Linked DNA regions of Lonchura striata. The protein of the gene in region 1 binds, or shares a complex with, the protein of each later gene. Links are inferred from orthologs where the notes say so. Each region holds a gene or a part of one and is shown in the gene's direction. Other genes may lie near its edges.

Region 1 (9,932 bases):
GGTGGCCATGTGTCCCTCTGCACCTCAGCCAGGTGTCCCCCAGGTGGGCAAGAGGCCAATGGGCCCTGGCTGGTCCCAGTGTGGGCGCAGTCCCAGGGCAGTGCTTGTCCCCTGTGCTGGCACTGGTGGGACACCTCCAGTTCTGGGACCTCTGTGGGAAGACATTGAAGGGCTGGAGTGTCCAGAGGTGGAAATGTCTGGAGAGCCTGAGGGAGCTGGGAAAGGGGCTCAACCTGGAGAAAAGGAGGCTCAGGGGGGACCTTCTGGCTCTGCACAGCTCCTGCCAGGAGGGGACAGCCGGGGGGTCGGGCTCTGCTGCCAGGGAACAGGGACAGGAGGAGAGGGAACGGCTTCAGGCTGAGCCAAGGGAGGTTTAGATTGGATATTGGGAAAAATCCTTCATGGGAAGGGTGCTCAGGCACTGGCACAGGCTATCTAGGGCAGTGCTGGAGTCATCGTCCAAGGAAGGGTTCAACAAGTGTTTAGACGAGGCGCTTGGGGACATGAGTAGAGGTGCACACGGCAATGCTGGGGGAACGGTTGGGCTCATTGATCTTGGAGATCTTTTCCATCCTCACCGATTGCAGGATCCCATGACCCCCCCGCTGCTTTGCAGGGCGCCCGCAGCAGCCAGCTCTACCTGCTGTGCCAGTACTCGCTGGGCTGCGGGGTGTCCTGCGGCCTCAGCTTCCTGCTGGAGGGGGCTCCGCACCGCAGCTGGAACCTGGCGCTGGCGGCGGGGCTGGCGGGGCTGCTGGCGCTGCACGCCCGGCGCCTGGCCCGGCACGTCTGCGCCCTGTACGAGCTGCACAGCCGGCAGCGCTACTGCGGCGTCTGCATCCTGCTGCTGGCCAAGGGCCACGGCATCCCGCGCCTGCTGCGCAGCGCCCTGGCCATCACCTTCGCCGTGGCCGACCTGGCGGCCGTGGAGCTCATCAACCGCGACTTCCTCTCCACGGGCGAGGCCGTGCGCTTCTGGACCCCGCTGACCATCTGCTACACCCTGCTGGTTGCCTACATGCAGGGTACGGGGGGCTCCGAGGGGCCTGTGGGATGTACTCGGGGTGTGTGGGGCCACTGGGGTGTACACCCCCACCTGGGGCTGTATAGGGGCAGACTGGGAGCCTGTGCGGAGTATATGGGGTGTACTGGGGGTATGCAGGGTGTCCTTATATAGGTAGTATATATAGTATGTGCTGGGGGTGTGTAGGGGTATATGGGGCATGCCAGGGGTCTGTAAAGGGGTATATGGCACATTTTGGGGGTGTATAGGGGTATATGGGGCATTCCAGGGGTCTGTAAGGAGGTATGTGGTACATTCTGTGGGTGTATAGGGATATATGGGGCATGCCAGGGGTCTGTAAAGGGGTATATGGCACATTTTGGGGGTGTATAGGGGTATATGGGGCATTCCAGGGGTCTGTAAGGAGGTATGTGGTACATTCTGGGGGTGTATAGGGGTATATGGGGGCATCCTGGGGGTCTGTAAAGGGCTATGTGGTACATTCTGGGGGTGTATAGGGGTATATGGGGCATCCTGGGGGTCTGTAAAAGGATATGTGGTACATTCTGGGGTGTATAGGGGTATATGGGGCATGCCAGGGATCTGTAAAGGGCTATGTGGTACATTCTGGGGGTGTATAGGGGTATATGGGGCATGCCAGGGGTCTGTAAGGAGGTATGTGGTACATTCTGGGGGTGTATAGGGATATATGGGGCATGCCAGGGATCTGTAAAGGGCTATGTGGTACATTCTGGGGGTGTATAGGGGTATATGGGGCATGCCAGGGGTCTGTAAGGAGGTATGTGGTACATTCTGGGGGTGTACAGGGGTATATGGGGCACCCTGGGGGTCTGTAGGGGGTGTGTGTATATATATCCCGGGTGTACATAGAGGGTACTGGGTGGTACAGAGAGTACATGGGATGTCCTGGGGGTACCTGGGGCACCCTGGGACTATAAGAGGTACAAGGGCTGTCCTGGGGGTGTATAGGGGCTACATGGGCTATCCATGAAGCCACCCCATGCTTGGTGTCCCCGTTGTGGGGCTGCGGAGGTCCCAGCGTCCCCGCGGTGGCTCCCCAATGCCGCGTCCTCGCAGAGGAGTCCCGGCAGAGCACGGGCAGGGGGTCGGCGTTCCGGACCGTGCTGGTGCGGATGGGCGGCCTCTTCATCCTCCTCCTCACCGTGGGCCGATGGACCGACATCCTGCACGTCTTCGTGTCTCTGCTGGGGGAGCTCTGGTGCCTGCTGCGCTCCGGGGTGCTGCTGGAGTCCTGCTGGAGGCAGGTGAGAGGGGGGACACCTCCCTGCCACGCAGGGTGAGGGCTGGCAGCAGCCCCAGGGCCACGGTGAGAGGCTTTTTGGCTTCTCTCTTCCATCCCGGCCAGGATTTTGCCCAGCAGCCTCGCGTGGATAATCTGTCGGGATCCGGACCCGAGGAATCGTCCCGATGAGCCGCAGGGCGGAACCGGACAGCGGAAATGAACTCGGGGTGGCTTCGCTGGGCACCCCAGAATCCCCCCATCACAGATCCCCCGTGGGGAATAAGGAAAAAAGGGCTCCTGGAAGGAGTCCGACCCCATCCCATAGGATGGAGGAGGTTGGGGGGAAGGCTCATGTTGCCCCTGGTTTTTGGGGGGATTCCATGAGGTTGCAGCACTGCTGGGGTTTGTTCTCTGGTCCCAGTGGGATTGCAGGATGCTGATGGATGTCCCATCGTTGCTGGCAGCTGGGCCACACTGTCAGGGGCCTCCAGGGGATTATAAATCTCAGAAAATAAAGGTGTTTTTTTCCAGCAAAATCCATGGGCAGAGCAAGCTGGGGTCCCATTGTGCTGGAAAGGCACTTGGGATGGTGGCAGTGCAGATTGTTGAGGGAGGTGGGTGGAATTCCTCCTTGGGAAGGGAAGCTGAGGCACTGAGTGGGGTGACCGTCTGGCTGGGAGGTGCCCCTGTGCCTCAGTTTCCCCCTGGCTGCACCTCACTGTGCTGTGCAAGGGAACAACAGGCCCTGCGAAGGTGGGGTGCAGTGTGGGGAGGGGGGGTTCTGGCTGCCTGGGCATGGACTCCCAATGCAGGGAGGAGCAGGAGGGGGTCTGGGGGTGTTTGGGGCAGCGGGGGCTCTATAGGGGTTTATGGGGCATGCTGGGGCTCTAGGGGGACACATGGGTGCCCTGAGGGTACATAGAAGAAATATGGGGCTAACTCCGGCTGTATTGGAGGATAGGGGTTATCCTGGGGGTATATGGAGGTATTTCGGCTGTACTGGGGTACGCAGGCACCCCGGGGGTGTATGGGGGGCTCACAGGGCACCCCTTGGGGTTGGGTGCCCTGAGGGTGTGTGGAGCCCTCCGAAGGTCCATGGGAAAACCTGGGGGGGGGTAATCCCAGAGCATATGGGGCACCCACGGGACCATGGGTCACCCTGGGGTAGATGGGGCCCCCAGGGAGCGCTTTGGGGAGCGCGGGGCAGTCGGAGGGTGCATGGGGCACCCTAAGGACGCGTGCCCCACTCTTCCTCCGCCCGGGGCTGTGGGGCAGGCAGGGGGGAGGAGGAAGAGAGGTGGAAGAGGAGGAGGAGGAGGGAGGAAGGGGCGGTGATGCCGGGCGGTTCTGCCTTCCCGCTGCCCCCGCCGCGCCCGCGGAGCGCACGGAGGGACCCGCAGCCGCTGCCCAGGTCGGGGACACGGACGGGGACAGGGTCACCCCCCGAGAGGCCGCAGGGCCACCTCCGGGCAGGCGACACCCCTCCTCGCCCGCAAGGTACGACCCCCAGGTAGGAAACAGGGGCCACCCTCAGGTAGGGACCACCCCAGATGTGGGATTGGAAACCCCCCCAGGAGGGGACAGGGGACACCCCGATATGGGATACGGGATGGGATAAGGACCGAAGTCATCCTGGGGTGAGACAAGGGGACCAAGAGCCACCCCCCAGGAGGGGACAGGGGACACCCCGATATGGGATACGGGACCCCCACGGGATGGGATAAGGACCGAAGTCATCCTGGGGTGAGACAAGGGGACCAAGAGCCACCCCCACGGAGGGGACTGGGGACCCTCCCAGGGAGGGGATGGGGGCTCCCAGGCAGGGGGGACACGGTGGGGCACCGCTCCACAAGGGACAGGGCACTGCCAGGTGGGGGACGGGGAGCTGTGGGGCTGCACAGGGGATGCCCGGGGGCTGCAAGGCCACCCCCCAGGTGAGGGACAAGAGGACAGCGGGACTGCTTGGGGTGGGGGAAGATGGACACCAAGTGTTATGTACCCCCATCCCATCCCTTGTTCCTTGGGCGTCCTCGGAGCAGCCTGTGAGAGCTCCCAGGGCAGAGTCGAGGTGCAGCTCTAGAGGGCTGCGTCCCATGCCAGTTTTGGGGTTGTGGGGATACCCCATAAGTGGCCCTATTCCCATCAATCCCACCCGAACTTCCATCCCAGGAGATTTCAGGGAAACCAGGGGGGTTCCTTTCCAGTGTGGCCTCGGCCACCCCAAACCAGGGTGGAGCTACATGGGAAGGGGGGACCCCCGTTAATGCACCCCTCGAGCCTCGACCAGCCCGGTGGCCCCGGGCCAGGGGGATCATCCGGGGGGTGCCGCTGCCGGGATCCCGTCAGCCCCGGCACAAAGAGGAATGCGATGAGCACATGGTTCCTATTAACCCCGGAGAACTTTTTTTTTTTTTTTTTTTTTTTTTTTTTTTTTTTTTTAAATGATTGTTCTTTTCTTTTTCCCCTCAGTTTTCCGCAGTTCTGCTGGGGAGGAGGAAAAGCGGTAGCCCCGGCGGGTGAGGAGCTGGGCGAAGGCACCGGTAGCCGGCGGGGAGGGAGGGAAAGAGGGAGCAAATGATCGGGGTTCTTTTTCCTTTTTAATCCCTTCCTCTTTAATCCCTTGAGTCAGAGGCTGAAGTCACCAGCAGGAACATCGCGAAGCTTTTTGCCCACCTCGGGGAGTCTGTCTGCCCCTCAAAGGATGTGCTGACCCCCGTGAGTGAGATTTTGGGGGAGCAGAGCCGCATGAGACCGGGAACTCATCACACAGGTATCTTTCAAGCTGCCAATTCACCTCAGGGATGAATTCTGCTTCACCAACACAGCGCCCTGACTAAAGCCTCAGGGTCCCCCCCCTCAGTCCATTCCATTTGGGAAGGGGAAGCTTCGCCCCAGCTGCTTTTCCCCTTGGGAAGTTGGACAAACAGCCCTTTTCCTTCCTGAGCAGCGTTTCTCGGGGTCGGGTGCGTCCTGCCTGTGCTGCCGGGTGCTGCTCAGGGGATGTGTCAGTGTCGGGGATGTGGTGATTCACAGCACCACACCTCAGTTTTCCCACCTGGAAAAGTAAAAGAGGGGGATGTGCAGAGCTGGAAGTGATTGGCAAGGAATTGGGGATAAGGAGGGAGGGAATGGGGATGTAGAAAGATTTCAAAAAAGGGGTTGCAAAAGCAAAATCCCATAGCTGCCCTGTTTTATAAAAGGAAAGGTGGGTACTTCCTGCTGCCCATGGGGAGTTTAATCCCAGGTGGGTAGGAGCAATAAGAGGAAATACAGGAGATCCAAATGCTTATGAAAAGGTGGAATATGGCCACAGAGGTGTGAAAATGGGAGATATCAGCTGCTGTCAGGATTCTGTACCCTGTGTCCTCCCAGGCACGAGACCATTTATTGCTGTGACGTGGGATGGGACGCTTGTTCCTTCTCCCTTTCCGGGAGGAGGGAGGTGGGTTGATGCCGAAGGGCAGCACGGCTGCAGGAGCTGCCAGTGTGCCTGCAAGTTTTACTCTCTTTCTTTCTTATTTTCCCTAGAATCAACCCCCGATCTGGCCTTTCCATGGCTTCAGCAATGTTGCCAGGGAAAGCAGAGAAGAGAATCGCTTCATCCATTTTCATCACCCTCGTGCCACCACGGAGGGACGTGGCCACCAAGGAGAAAACCCAACGGGAGCTGCAGCCAGGTGATGCCAAGGTCCCTGGCGCTCATCACCCCCAGATCCTGCTGTCACCCCCCTCGCTGCCCTACAGAGGTGAGGGGTGTCCATGGGGGGCTGCGAGCGATGTGGAAGGATGGCAATGGGGCTGAGGAGGCTGTAGAGATGCTTTGCTAAAGGATGTGCGTGCGGAAGGGCATTTTGGGGTATGTTTTGGGGAGTTATTCCCCAAATCCCTGCATGCAACCCGGCATGGATCCGGCTCCTGGGGACGGGCTGTGTTTGCTCTCCATTGCTGGGTGCTTATCGGTGCTGCTTGTCTCCTCCTGCTTCGATGGCGTTTGCTTTTGGGGCAGGTCAGTGAGCGCTGCTGCAAAGCTGTTGGGGTGTTATTGTGACAGGGTGTTATTGTGACGGGGTGCTATTGGACATTATTGATCCCCTAAATCCCCCACATCTGTCTGTTGCTGCAGAAACCCACCCGGTGGCCCCTGTACCTGCACCCCCACCAGTCCTGCCCCTCTCTGAAGTGCCCCAGCCCTTGTCTGTGGAGCCGCTGGGTCTGGCACTGCAGCAACTGGACCTTGCAGCGCCCGCCACCCTCCAGGTGAGGATAACAGAGTGCAGCACCCCCCAGTGCCTCAGCTTCCCCACTAACGTGGCTTTGCCCTTCCCCACTTGCCAGGCCCCTTCCACCTTCCCTGCTGAATTGAAGCTGCCCACATTTTCCCAGGAGCAAGCAGGCAAGCGGCAGTGGCAGGATGCAAATGGGCACCCGGGGAGGGACAGCTCCAGAGGTAAGAGGAGACTCAGCTGTGCATGGGCTCATCCCCTCTTAGGGAAACTGAGGCACGCAGCTCCTAACCGCTCTCCCTGCTTCTTGCAGACATCTGTGCCTTCTGCCACAAAGCGCTGGGGCCCCGGGAGCCGACGGTGGAGGCGATGCGGAAGCAGTACCACCCTGAGTGCTTCACCTGCCGTATGTGCCACCGGCTCCTGGCTGGGCAGCGCTACTTCCAGAGAGACGGGTGCCCCACGTGTGACACCTGCTTCCAGGTACCCATCCATCTTCGGGGAAAACCAGCACACTCGGAACATCCCTCGGGGTGTGGGCTGGTGTCTTATGGCACGTGTTCCCTAAATTCCAGGCCACGCTGGAGAAATGTGCCAAGTGCCAGGGGCTGATTACGGAGCACATTGTCCATGCCCTGGGCAAGGGCTACCACCCCAGCTGCTTCTCCTGCGCTGGCTGTGGCCGGGCCATCGGCACCGAGAGCTTTGCTGTGGACAAACAGGGTGATGTGTACTGCGTGCCCGACTACTACAGGTTGGCCATGGGGGAGTGTCTCCCACGCTGGGAGCTGGGTTTGGCTCATCCCCTGCAGAGCTCACGCTGCTCCCGTTGGCTCCCATCAGGAAATACGCCGCGGTGTGCAGCGCCTGCGAGCGCCCCATTGTCCCCCGCGAGGACGAGGACACCTACAAGATCGAGTGCCTGGGACGCAGCTTCCACGAGAGCTGCTACCGCTGCGAGGTACGGCCCTGGGGGCTGAGGGGTCCCCAAAACCAAAGGGGTGGCACTGAACCTTAGCTGAGCATGGACACAGGGATGACAGCACCCATGACTGGGTTTTAGCCCTCAGTTTATCTTATGAGTAATGGGGAGGGGCAAAATAAATCAATTGGGTGGTGGTGATGTGTTTGGAGAACTTTAGCTTTGCATGCTTTTGATGTAGTTTGTCGCTTTTTTGGAGTGCTGGTGGGTTTTGCAGGGAAAATAGGATGTAACACACACAGGAACCTCTAAAAGGTGGCTTCCTTTCCCCCTCCTGCCCCCAGAGTTGTAGGATGCCCCTGTCACCGGAGCTGACAGAGAACGGGTGCTACCCCCTGGACGACCACCTCCTCTGCAAGTCCTGCCACATCCACTGGCGCAACGAGTCGTCCTGCTGAGACCCTGCAGCTCATCAAGATCTTCCAGTGCACCAAAAAGGGGGTGCCCCCAGTGGGATCCACCCCATGGCCAACCCTGGGTGCCTGCTGCATCCCCAGATTACTGCAGAACTGAGTTTTCACCACAAAAATGTCCCCAGGCCCCTGACCTGGTGGGTTGGTTGGGTGGAGAACTGTGGATACGTCCCCGCACAGCTCTGCACTCATCATGAATATAAAATGCCCTGACAGAGCAGCAATAAGGACTGGAGGTTTTAGTCCTCATTTCTTTTTTTAAACTCCTTTTTCCGAAGGCCAGTTTGGTTTTCTTGGGTGGTGTTTCTTTCTTCTAAAGCTTCCTTGGCATTTCACTGAAATGTTTCTCTCTGTGGAGAGCTGTGGGCACTGATTTAGTTACTCGCAGTTAAATAAAACCCCAAGTTTTTAAACACTCATTTCTTTAATCCACCCTGCATTCCAAACCTATAAAATCCAAGTTTAAATTAAGGGAAAAAAGCCAGTTTTGGATTTTCTAGGCGTGGCGAGAATTGGTTCATAACCATTGATTTTAGGGTGCAGCGATATGGCAGATGCTGCTGCCACCCTGGGGAGAGCCGAGTGTTGTTTTTAGGGTGCATATGGGATCTGGCGATGTTTCGTGGTGTTGATAAAAGGGGTTTTGGTGTGGTTTCGGGTTTTTTTGCTGACTATCTATCCGGAGCCGGCAGAGGGCAGCCGGAGCACAGATTCCTCCATCAGGCAGTAAAACTCCAGCTAAAAGCATCCCGCAGGGCCGGGACGCTGGGAAAGATGGACAGCCCGCTTTCTGCATATTATCCAAGATTATATCGCTCTGCCAGTGGAAACTTTTTGATCTCCTCTCAGTCCAGGCCTCAAACCAGCAGAAATTAGACCATTTCTCGGCGTGCCCAACATCTGTGCAACTGATGTTGGCGGCACTTAGTGGTTTTGTTTGCGAGGGCGCTGCAAACCAGGCGGAGAAACTTCGTAACTTTCTTTTTAACCGAAAGTGTTTAAAAAGCCACAAATCAAGAGCAGAAAATAGCATGCGCATGCGAGAAAATCTCATGAGCATGAGATGATGTTTAATGATTTCCTGATGGAAAATGGGAGCTGCAAACAAAGAAAACAACCACCAGACCAGCAGCTCTTGGATCACATACATCTCTGGTGTGTGCTCTGTTTGAGTGGAGGGGTTAATGATAGTTAATTAATCACATCAATAACTATTTCCTGATGACTCTTCCCTATCTACAAAGCTGATTACTCAGTGTTTTTTAATGAGCATCTCTGGGCCATCAATCAGATCATAACTTGCTTTAAATGTATTTATAAATAAGTTGTGGTCTGTCCTGGACACATAAGTTGGTGGCTTTGGGTCCAGTTGGGTGGGAACTCCTTGTCCCATGCCAAGGAATTCCTGTGCTCTGAGTCACCTCTCACTTTCCAAAGCTTCTTGCACTGTGAGGAAAATCTGGCATCAAAATAATGCTAAAAAAGTAAAAGGATGTGGCAGTGGCCAAAGGGAGCAGGAAAAAGAAAGCCCAGAGGGCAAAGGGCTGTTTGCATTTTGTAATATGGATATGTTTCCACTCAAGGTTTTTGGGGAGGATGGAAGTGCAATGCTGAGCGGTGTTTTGGATGTGTTATTGCAAATTGCACTACTCTTCCACAGAGGAATGGTGGGAAGGAGTTGGGTATTTCCCCCTTGGAGCCTTCCAGGATGGGCTGTTGGCACTGGGACTGCAGAATTTTTGGCTGGAGACAGGCAGGGAAATGCTTTTATTTACAGGCAGCCTTGGAGAAGGTCCTGGAAAGCAAGGAGAAAGGAAAGGCACCGCTGGAGCGTTTGGCAGCATGGTGAAGGGATGTGGCGTGGTCAGATTTGACGTGGTATTTCAGGAGCGGAGGGTGACAAGGGACAGGGATACACGGACACAGGTAAGAGGACAAAAAGGCTGATTTAAGGCATCTTCCCGGATAAAGGGAGAAGCACTACGAGCTGAGGCTTGGGGAGCATTGCTTTGCCTGAAAAGCACAGCCCCGTGTTTTCCCTTGGGAG
Region 2 (9,719 bases), on another chromosome or scaffold:
GATGAAGAGGAACCAGGTGTAGTACTCGCTCTTGTACTTGGTGCCCACCGTGTACCAGTCAGGGCCGCAGGAGCACTGCAGCCCCTCGGGGATGTACCTGCAGAGCTGTGCTCAGCCCCCGCTCTGCACCGGGGGCACCCCAGGTGTCCCACAGCACCCTGGGGCACTTCTGGTGCCTCAGGCAGTCCCCTGGCACCCCCTCAGCACCCCCCTGCCCCCCACTTGCCACTGTTCCCCCCCTGCCCCCCACGCCTGCTGCATCCCCACCTGCTCCAGCCGAAGAAGGGCGGGATGGCGACGCCGACGCCGATGATCCAGGTGGCCGCCACGACCAGCAGCGCGTGGCGGGAGTTGAAGCGGAAGTTGCCGAAGGGTTTGCAGATGACAATGTAGCGCTCAAAGGCCAGAAAGGCCAAGGACCAGCCTGTCACGAGCCCTGGGGGAACAAGGTCACCGCTGGCCTCACACAACCGCCCGTGGCCACCAGGGCTAGGGGTCACCGCAACGCCCACAGCCCCCCAGGGCATCGGGTCACCCCAAGTCCTACAACCCCAGCAGAATGTAGCAATCACCCCTCCCTTCAGGCCTCAGTGGTCACCTCAGCTCCTGCAGCCTCAACAGCTCACAGGGCTCTACCCTTCCCATGGCCCTTACCCATCTTGCCACCTTCAGCCCCACCAGACCACAATGATCCCAGACACAAATTCCCCAGCCCCAGAAGAACATGACGGTCACCCCCACTTCCAGCTCCACCAGACCCCAGTGGTCACCCCAACTCCTACAGTCCCACCAGAGTACAGTGGTCAGCTCCTTAAGGTCCAGAAGGTCACCCCAATCCTGCACCCCAGCAGCCCATGGTGGTCAACCCAACTCCCAAAGCCTCAGCAGAACGTGTTGGTCATGATATCTGAGCCCTACCAGACCTTGGTGGTCACCCCAACTCCCACGGCCCCAGGAGATCACTGTGGCCACCTCTGGCCCCAGTAGCCCCCAGTGGTCGCTCCATCGTCTCTGGCCACAGCAGCCTGAGCGCCCCATGGTCCCCTCGTACCTCCGGTGGCCCCTGCAAAGCCCTCAAAGGCACACATGTGCTTCCCGAAGACAAAGTATCCCTGGGAGCTGGCGATGAAGACGGTGAAGATGCAGAAGACGCAGCACATGAGGCCGGCAACGGAGATGTTCACCAGGATGTAGTTGAGCGGCTGCCGCAGCTTCTTGTACTTGATGGTGACGATGAGGACGATGGCGTTCAGGGGGGTGCCCGCCACGAACACCAAGCCCATGAAGATGGTCTGCAGGTAGAAGGCCCACACGGGCGCGATGTGGTACTGGGGCCCATCCCAGGGCCCCACCGACGACTGGTTCTTGAACAGGTAGAACTCTTCCTCGTCCATGGTGGCGCTGGCGGGGGGGGCGCCCACCCCCCTGATATACCCTGCGCCCCCAAAGCTGCTTAGGGGGGATCAGGGCTCAGCCCGGCCAAACTTGGGGATTAGGGTGGGCTAAACCGGGCTCAGCCCCTAATCGGGCCCCTGAGCCGGGTGAGCCGATTGCTGGTGCTCTGGAGGATTGGGGGGGGGGGGGGGGGGGCAGAAGGGCTCCCCCCAACATCTGGGTATGGGGAGGGTCCCCAGGGGGCTCCAAGCTTGATCCTGCTCCTCCTGAGGTGTTCAGGTGTCCCCAGGTGTTCCCAAGCCCAAGGCTTGGTCCCCAGCCTTAGTTCTGATCCCACCAGGGTCCTCAGTGTGCCCCAGGGGGTCCCCAAGCTGTGTCCTGGTCACCCCCAGAATGGCCAGGTGCCCCTAGGATCCCCAGGGGTCCCCAGGTGCTCCAGCCTTGATCCCACTCCCCCAGGGTGCCGCAGCCCTGGATGCTTTGGGAAGAACTTGGAGTTTCCTCATGAACTCACCCGCTGCCCCCCACCCCAGCACCCCAGGGTGCCCCCCAGGTGTCTCCCCTCTCAAGCAATTGTCCCCAGTTCTGGGCTTGGGGCATCCCTGTGCTGGGGAGACTCCAAGTGAGGTGTAGGAGTCTGGGGGTATCAAGGGGTGGGGGGAAGACTGGGGGGGCACTGCTTGAGGTGGGGTGTCTGAGAGGGGGTGTTCATTTTGGGGGTGCAGTGACAGGGGGTCATGGATGGGGGGTCACTTTGGGGGTGTGCTGCTGGGACTTGAGTCCCAGAAGACTCCCAGCGTTTCCTGCCCTCCCACCCCCCTCTTTCCCTCCCTCAGCCTGTGGCACCCCCGGGGAACAGGAAGGATGAACAGAAGCTGCTTAGGGAGGGATTACAGTGCCCCCCCGGGCTGGGGGCGCCTATAAAGGCTGGTGCAGGGACCTCACTGTGGCACCCCGGGACCCCCAGGGAAGGGGGATCTCATTTGTGGGGAGGGGGACACCCTCAGGGAACGCTGTGCCCTGAGTGTGTGGGGGGTGCCCACCCTGGGGTGTCCTGGGGCACCCTGAGCTTCTGTCCAGCTCTGGGTCAGAGATGGGGCCAGGGAAGGAACAGGGGGATTGGCTGGGCTGAACCCCCAGCCCATGTTTTACTGGGCTGTACTGGATCATACTGGCCTGTACTGTACTGGTTTGTACTGGGCTGTACTGGACTACATTGGGCTGTACTGCACTGTATTGTGCCATGGCATTGCACTGTGCCCTGTTGGGTTGTACTGGGTTTGGTCATACTGTACCAGGCTCTACCGGGCCGTACTGGGCTGTACTGGGCCGTACCGGGTAGGGTCAGCTCTGCTGGTGCTCTACTAGGCGTCCCATGGAGGGGCACCCCCAAATGGGTGCTCCAGGGTGGTGTCCCAGGGTGGTGCCCCAGGGTGGTGACCCAGGGGACAGACACCCCACAAAGGGTCCCCCCGCTGTGTCCCCTGTGGAGCCGCGGCCACTGTGGGCACTGTGGGCTGCGGAGAGGGCTACAGCGCAGGGGCTGTGGGGGACGGCAGAGCTGGGGCACGACGGAGCTGTCAGCCTCGGCAGGGGCTGCCCGGGGGGGTTTGGGGTGCCCATCCCCACAGGTGTCCAAGGGAGGCCTGGAGGTGGCACCCAGGGTTCCGGGACAAGGAGAAGTCAGGCACAGCTTGGACTCCATGGCCGGGAGGGCTTTTCCAGCCTCAGGGGCTCTGTGGTTCTGTGATTCTGGGATTGTGGATGGAGCAGGGAAGGGACTTGGGGGATGCTGGGCATGGAGCTCCGGGGCCTGCAGTGGTGGTACTGCCCTGCCAGGACCCCCCACACCACCAGTGCCCACCACCAAGCCCCCAGCACCCACTGGTACCGGCAGCACCACCTCCACACGGGACCCATGGCCCCCCAGGCCCCCCAGTGCTCTGTCTCCAGCCCCATGGCCCCCGTGGGACTCCTAGGGCCTCCAAGTCGCTGCTCTTGTGCCCTCCTGGATGTGGCCCCACACATGTCCCTGCTGTCCCCATGGCCACGTTACCTGTGTCCCACTGTCCATGTACCCCTCGTTCTCGTGTCCCTTATGTCCCTCAGCCCTGGCCCCATGTCCCCATGGCCACGTCCCCAGTGCCCCCCTCTTCCCCTCTCTGTGCCCCCAGGCTGCCGATGACCCCCTCCCCATGTCACCCCACCCTGAGGACCCTGAGTGCTTCCAGCCCCAGTGTCCCAAGGAAACAGCTGGGGACAGGCTGGGGGGACGCTGGACTCAGGATGTCACCACGGGCAGCAGTGTTTCTGCCCTGTGTCCCCTCCCCAGGAGACACTGGCGGGGTCAGGTCCTTTGTCCCCTCGTGGCCTCCACCGTCATCTTCCTCTGCCCTGGCTGTGGCAGAGCCGAGACCCTGGGGGACACTGGGATCCCCCTGGGTCCCCCTGACCTGCCCCAGCAGCATCCTGAAACCCCATCCTGGAGTGCACTGACCCCCCCGCAGTGCCCTGACTGCTCAGAGCCCCCTGGACCACCCTCGACCTCCCCAAACATCCTGACCCCCCCAACCCACTCGCTCCCCTTCCCACACCTGCCAAGGGCTTGGGGGTCCTGGTGAGGGACCCTGTCGCGTTTTGCCCCCACCCCTGTTGGTGCCCCCCCGGCCCCTGCCCCAGGTATTTTGGGTGATGATGTGTTGGGGGCGCCCCCCCGCGTGCCCCCCCGGGTATTTTGGGTGCCGGTGCGTGGCTCTGACTCGGCAGGTTATTTTTAGGTGTTGGCGCAGGCGCCACCGCGTCACCCCCCCCACGTCACCCCCCCACGTCACCCCTTGTCACCCGTTGTCACCCCGGGGTGCACCCGCACCGCCCCCCCTTCCCTTGGAAGCTTCCAGGCAGGCACCGGAACAGGGGGAACACGATACTCCCCAAATCGCCCCCCCAAAGGACCCAGATGTGGGTCACCCGAGTGTCCCCCTGCCCCTCCCAAGGGAGCTGAGGAGGCCGCGGGTGTCTGGAAAGGGGGGAGGGGCACAAGAGAGATTTGGGGGGCAGAGGGGTTTAGGGTGCACCCCAAATATGACCGAACCCCCTCCCCAGGCTTGTGCCATTGTCATGGGGAAACTGAGGCATGGCCAGGGGGACCCACGGCTGGAGTCACCGGAGGGAGTGGGGTGCAACCGAGGGGACTGGGTGGGGGTTCCATGGCAAGAGTGGTCCTGGGGGGGGGGCTTCCCCAGAGGGGATCCTGGGAGGGTTTGTGGGATCTCAGTTGTGCCCCTCGGGGCTGGGGGAGAGTTTTTATGTGTTTTTCAGGGGTTCCCAAGGGGAAAGGGATGAGTGAGGGGGTTCGAGTAAGTTTTGGGGGCGTCTTTGGGGGGGTTTTGGGATGCGTTGTGCTGTGGGGTGCCTGGGATGTTTGGGAATTAAGGTACAGGTGTATCAGGATAACAGGGTGTTGGGCTGCCTGGGCTATAGGGTGCTGAGGTTTTGGGGTGTCGAGGTTGCAGGTATTTGGGATTATTATGGGTGGATTCTGGATTTTGGGGGGCCAGAGTTTCAGGGGTGTCTGGGTGCTGGGATTTGAGGTACCAGGGTTTCAGTGTAGGGAGGCTGGGGTGCCTGGGGGCCGAGGTTTGGGGGTGCTGAGGTTTGAGGGTGCCAAAGTTTAGGCGTGCCGTGGTTCAGCGTGCAAAGTTTGGGGGTGCCAGTGTCTGGGGGCAGGGGGTTCTGAGGTGGCAGAGTTTAGGAGTTTATGACACTGGACTTCAGGGAATTCGGGGAGTTTTGGGGTGTTGGGGTGCCAGCGTTTGGGAGTTGGTGGGTGCTGGCGTTTTGGGGTGCTTGTGTTGGTGAGTGTCGGTGTTTTGGTGGGCCGGCGTTTGAGGTTACAGCGGTTTTAGGGATGTCAGAGATTTTGGGGTGCTGATGTCTGTGCGTTTTTGGAACTGCCACTGTTTGGGGGTTTTGGGAGTGCCGCGGTTTGGGGGAGCTTTGGCCCGGGAGTCCTGAAGTCGGGGGGCTCCGGGGTGTGCTGGGATCCGGCGTTTTGGGAGGTGCCGAATTCCGGGGTTTTGGGGGTGCCGGAGTCCGGGGGTCCGAGGTTTGGGGAGCGCCGAAGTCCGGCGGTCTTGGGGGTGCCGGTGTCTGGGGCTCCGGGAGTGAGGCCGGGGCTGTAAATAGCGACGGCCGGACCCCCCACCCCCGGCCGCTCGGGCGGTCTTTCCGTCCCTCCTGCTCGGTCCCTCCCCGGGACGGGGCGGGCCGGGCCGGGGCAGCGCTTAAAGCCGCCGCCGCCCCCGGCCCCGCCACTTGCCGCCGTCGCCCCTGGCCCAGGAGCGCTCCTGGGACGCCTCGCGAACACACGGGAGCCCGCCGCGAACGCCGCTCCGGGAACTAATCGGGAACCGACCCGGGAACCTACCGGACCCCCCAGCCCTCCGGGACCCGCCGCTCCGCTCCGGGAACGCACCGGGAACCAACCCCACCACCGGGAACTTGCACCGGGACGGACCCAGGACACCAGCCCCCGACCCCGGGAACAGGAAACCCTAGCCAGGACACCAGTACCGAGCAGCGAACCCCTCTCGGGACACCGGCACTGAGACGGGACCCCGTCCTCAGGCACCCGTCCTGACCCCGGGGACCGGGACCCTCCCTGGGCGCCGGGACTGACCGAGGACACCGTCCCCCATCGCCGGGAACTGGGACCCCATCCAGGACACAGACACCCACCCAGGAACCGGGACCGACCCAGGACTGAATCTCCCAGCACCGGGACCCCATAGCGGGCACCAGCACCCACCCAGGGCCCCGCCCGGGACACCAGCTCTGACCCAGGACACCGTCCCCAACCCAGGACATTGTCCCCCAGCGCCAGCTTTGCCACCGGGACCCAGAACCCCACCCCAGGCATCCACAGGACACCGGCACCGCCTTGGGACCCACACCCACGGTGCCAGGATCCCTTCAGGACACTGGGACTGACCCACGACCCCCGCCCAGCACCAGAAGTGAGCCAGGGCTCCCCCCCAACCCTCTCAGGACTCTCCACACCACCCAGGAACCCCTCTGCCCATCGAGGACCCACCGAGCCCTCCAGGATGAACTCTACTTACGAGGCAGCACCGGGAGAGGACCCCGAGGAGCTCCCGGCCACCGAGAAGGACCTTGCAGAGGACGCGCCCTGGAAGAAGATCCAGCAGAACACGTTCACGCGCTGGTGCAATGAGCACCTCAAGTGTGTGCAGAAGCGCATCGTGGACCTGCAGCGCGACCTGAGCGACGGGCTGCGCCTCATCGCGCTGCTCGAGGTGCTCAGCCAGAAGAAGATGGGGCGCAAGCACCACCCGCGCCCCAACTTCCGCCAGATGAAGCTGGAGAATGTCTCGGTGGCCCTCGAGTTCTTGGAGCGGGAGCACATCAAGCTCGTGTCCATCGGTGGGTGTGCAAGGGAAGCGGTGTCCGTGGGTGGGTGGGCACAGGGCGGGTGAGGGTGGAAGGGGAATGGGAACGGTGCTGGAGGGTGGAAGGGGAATGGGAACGGTGCTGGAGGGTGGAAGGGGAATGGGAATGGTGCTGGAGGGTGGAAGAGGAATGGGAACGGTGCTGGAGGGTAGAAGGGGAATGGGAACGGTGAGCGGGCAAGGGCAGGGCCAATGGACAAATGGGAATGAGGAATGAGTGTGTAAGGGTGGGCATGATGTGGGGATGGGAAATTGAGGGAGAGTATACGAGGGTAGGGGTGGACAAGTGAGGATGTGGATGAGTGTGTAAAGGGAGGGGAGGGATGGGTGTGAATAGGGTGAGAGTGCAAGGGTGGGGAGTGGAGGAGTGTGAGTGGAGAATGACTGTGCAAGGAGCATGATGGACAAATGAGGATGGGGCCGTGGGTGAGTGTGCAAGGGTAGGGTGATGGATGAATGGGAATGAAGGATGTGTGCAAGAGTGAGGCCGACGGACAGATGAGAATGGGGATGCATGTGCAAGCGGTGGGGTGGCAGGAGCAGGAGCGGGATGAGCGTGCGAGAGCGGTGCAGCAGTGGGAATGGGGTGAGCGTGCAAGGCTGGCGGGGCTGCGGGCGAGTGTGCAAGGGGTGAGTGTGCGGGGGCGGCGCGGTCTGCGGGCCGACCCTCGCAGGGCGTGCGGAGCGGGGGGGCCCGGCCCGTGCAGGGCCGCGCAGGGGGGCTGAGCTCACGCTTGGCTCGGGGCCGCGGCGCTGAGCTCACGCGCGGGGGGGCCCGGCCCGCACACGCACCCACCCCTCGCGGGGCCTCAGCGCCCACCCCCACCCGACAGCTGCAGGGTGACCCCCCCCGCGCACACGTCCGTGCGCGGCCCCCCTGGCACGCCCGGACCCGGGGGGTGCGAGACCCCCTCCCGCGGTGTCGCCGCCCCCTCCCACGCGCGTCTTTGCCCCCTCTCGGGACGCCCCCAGATGTGACCCCAAGTTTTGGGGAGCTCCCAGGTGCTGCCCCCCCGGAGCACCCGGCGGGGAGGGGTTTGTCCCTCCATCTCCCCCATTTCCTCCCTGAAACGCGATCGCTCGTGGGGGGAAGTGGCGGGGGAAGGAGCGGGGGAGGGTCAGCTCCGCAGGGCGGTGGGGGAGGGACCGGGATGCCTCGGACCCCCCTCCCCCCACAGCCGTCCCCTGCCTCAGTGTCCCCCTTCTGGCACTCCAGGAATCCCTTGGGAAGGTCAGGGGTGTGGCACTCCAGGGCGCTCCCTTGGGGACCCCGGCTGCTGCCAGGGTTGTGCCCCCCCAGGCACTTCCCGGGGGTGCTGGGTCCCCGCAGGGTGAAGTGCTCGGCATGGACAGGGCGCAGTGTCGTGGGTCATCCCTCGCTTCTGTGCCCCGGGGTGTCCCCAGGCAGGTGTTGGGGTGCAGCGTCCCATGGCACCGCCTGGGGTGTCGGGGTGCCCCGAGACGGGTGCTGGGGTCCGCCCGTTGTGCCGTGGGATGTCGGGGTGTAGGGGTCCCTGTGGTGGTGCTGTGGGGTTTGGGGGTGCCCCAGCCGAGTCCCCCCATTATCCCCATTCCCAGAGACAGCCGGGACACGACCCTGAAGCTGATCCCGGGGCCACAGCTGTGCAGGTGCGAGGATCCCTCCAGCGGGTCCCAGGATGTCGGGGTACCCCGGGGGGAGTCCCGAGGGATCTCGGGGTTCAGCCTCCCCGTTTCTCCCCCACAGACAGCAAAGCAATCGTGGACGGGAACCTGAAGCTGATCCTGGGGCTGATCTGGACACTCATCCTGCACTATTCCATCTCCATGCCTATGTGGGAGGAAGAGGAGGACGACGAAGGCCGCCACCAGACCCCCAAGCAGCGGCTGCTGGGCTGGATCCAGCACAAGGTGCCGCAGCTGCCCATCACCAACTTCAACCGTGACTGGCGCGACGGGAAAGCGCTGGGAGCGCTGGTGGACAACTGCGCCCCGGGTGAGGAGCGCGGCGGGGCGGGGGCGTGGGGGGACAGATGGGGGGAGAACTGCGCCCCGAGTGAGGGTACGAGGTGCAGGCTGGCTCGGGGGGCACCGATGGAGATGTTGGGGGCAGCAGGCGCAGAAGGGGGAGGTGGAGGACGGGGGTCAGGACAGGGGTGCGCCCCTGACCCTTCTGGCCCTCCAGGTCTGTGCCCAGACTGGGAGAAGTGGGACCCCAACAAGCCGGTGCAGAACGCTCGGGAGGCCATGCAGCAGGCAGACGACTGGCTGGGAGTCCCCCAGGTACGGGCATGCTGGGGGGTGTGGGGGGCACTGCGGGTCTACAGGTACAGGGTGGGGCACTGGCACTCGTCCAGGTACGGTGCAGGGCAGGAACGGGTGGGGGGCACTGGGAGAGGGTGCTGGGGGTGCAGGGGCGTGCCTGGGGAGTGTCCTTGGGGATCCACAGGCCATTTGGGGTACCCCATGGCTCCTGTGGTAGGGGTGTGGGGGGTTCCCCAGCAGGGCAAGGAGGGCCTGATGGCTGTTGGGGTCTCAGGAGGGTCAGGGAGTGTCGGGGGCCCCTCCTGGTAGTGGGCTGCGTGGTGGGGGTTCCCCGGCAGGGTCTGACAGGTGTTGGGCTTCCCTGCCAGGTGATCGCCCCCGAGGAGATTGTGGACCCCAACGTGGACGAGCACTCGGTGATGACGTACCTGTCCCAGTTCCCCAAGGCCAAGCTCCGGCCCGGGGCCCCCGTGCGCCCCCGTCTCCCTGAGCCCGGCCGTGCGCGCGCCTACGGGCCCGGTATGGGGGCTGAGGGGCTCGGGGGTCGTGGGCAGCTGGGGTCCCAGGGGGGCAGGAAGGGGTGGAGGTTTGAGGGGCACCGGGGGGGCTGGG

What was found.
Region 2: the proteins of FBLIM1 (region 1) and FLNC are in contact, whole or in part, in an NMR structure (PDB 2K9U), measured with the Homo sapiens proteins. The link is inferred for Lonchura striata from reciprocal best matches to the Homo sapiens genes FBLIM1 and FLNC. Residues at the interface, in NP_001337080.1 of Homo sapiens: Arg8, Val9, Ala10, Ser11, Ser12, Val13, Phe14, Ile15, Thr16, Leu17, Pro19; in NP_001449.3 of Homo sapiens: Thr2339, Ala2344, Gly2345, Gly2346, Leu2347, Ser2348, Ile2349, Ala2350, Val2351, Glu2352, Gly2353, Pro2354, Ser2355, Lys2356, Ile2359, Phe2361, Asp2380, Glu2382, Phe2387.

Annotation. Positions count from the first base shown.
Region 1 is NC_134626.1:6,424,008-6,433,939, forward strand, and holds FBLIM1 (filamin-binding LIM protein 1), read left to right. Parts: upstream 1-5,820; coding exon 5,821-6,013; intron 6,014-6,390; coding exon 6,391-6,524; intron 6,525-6,602; coding exon 6,603-6,714; intron 6,715-6,803; coding exon 6,804-6,973; intron 6,974-7,065; coding exon 7,066-7,244; intron 7,245-7,333; coding exon 7,334-7,451; intron 7,452-7,756; coding exon 7,757-7,870; downstream 7,871-9,932. Other genes in the region: TMEM82 (transmembrane protein 82), read left to right, coding at 617-1,025, 2,102-2,289, 2,391-2,456. UniProt on the Homo sapiens protein: Serves as an anchoring site for cell-ECM adhesion proteins and filamin-containing actin filaments. Is implicated in cell shape modulation (spreading) and motility.
Region 2 is NC_134607.1:73,107,534-73,117,252, forward strand, and holds the start of FLNC (filamin-C), read left to right. Parts: upstream 1-5,720; 5' UTR 5,721-6,500; coding exon 6,501-6,837; intron 6,838-8,589; coding exon 8,590-8,838; intron 8,839-9,027; coding exon 9,028-9,125; intron 9,126-9,475; coding exon 9,476-9,626; intron 9,627-9,719. Other genes in the region: OPN1SW (short-wave-sensitive opsin 1), read right to left, coding at 1-97, 268-436, 1,052-1,394.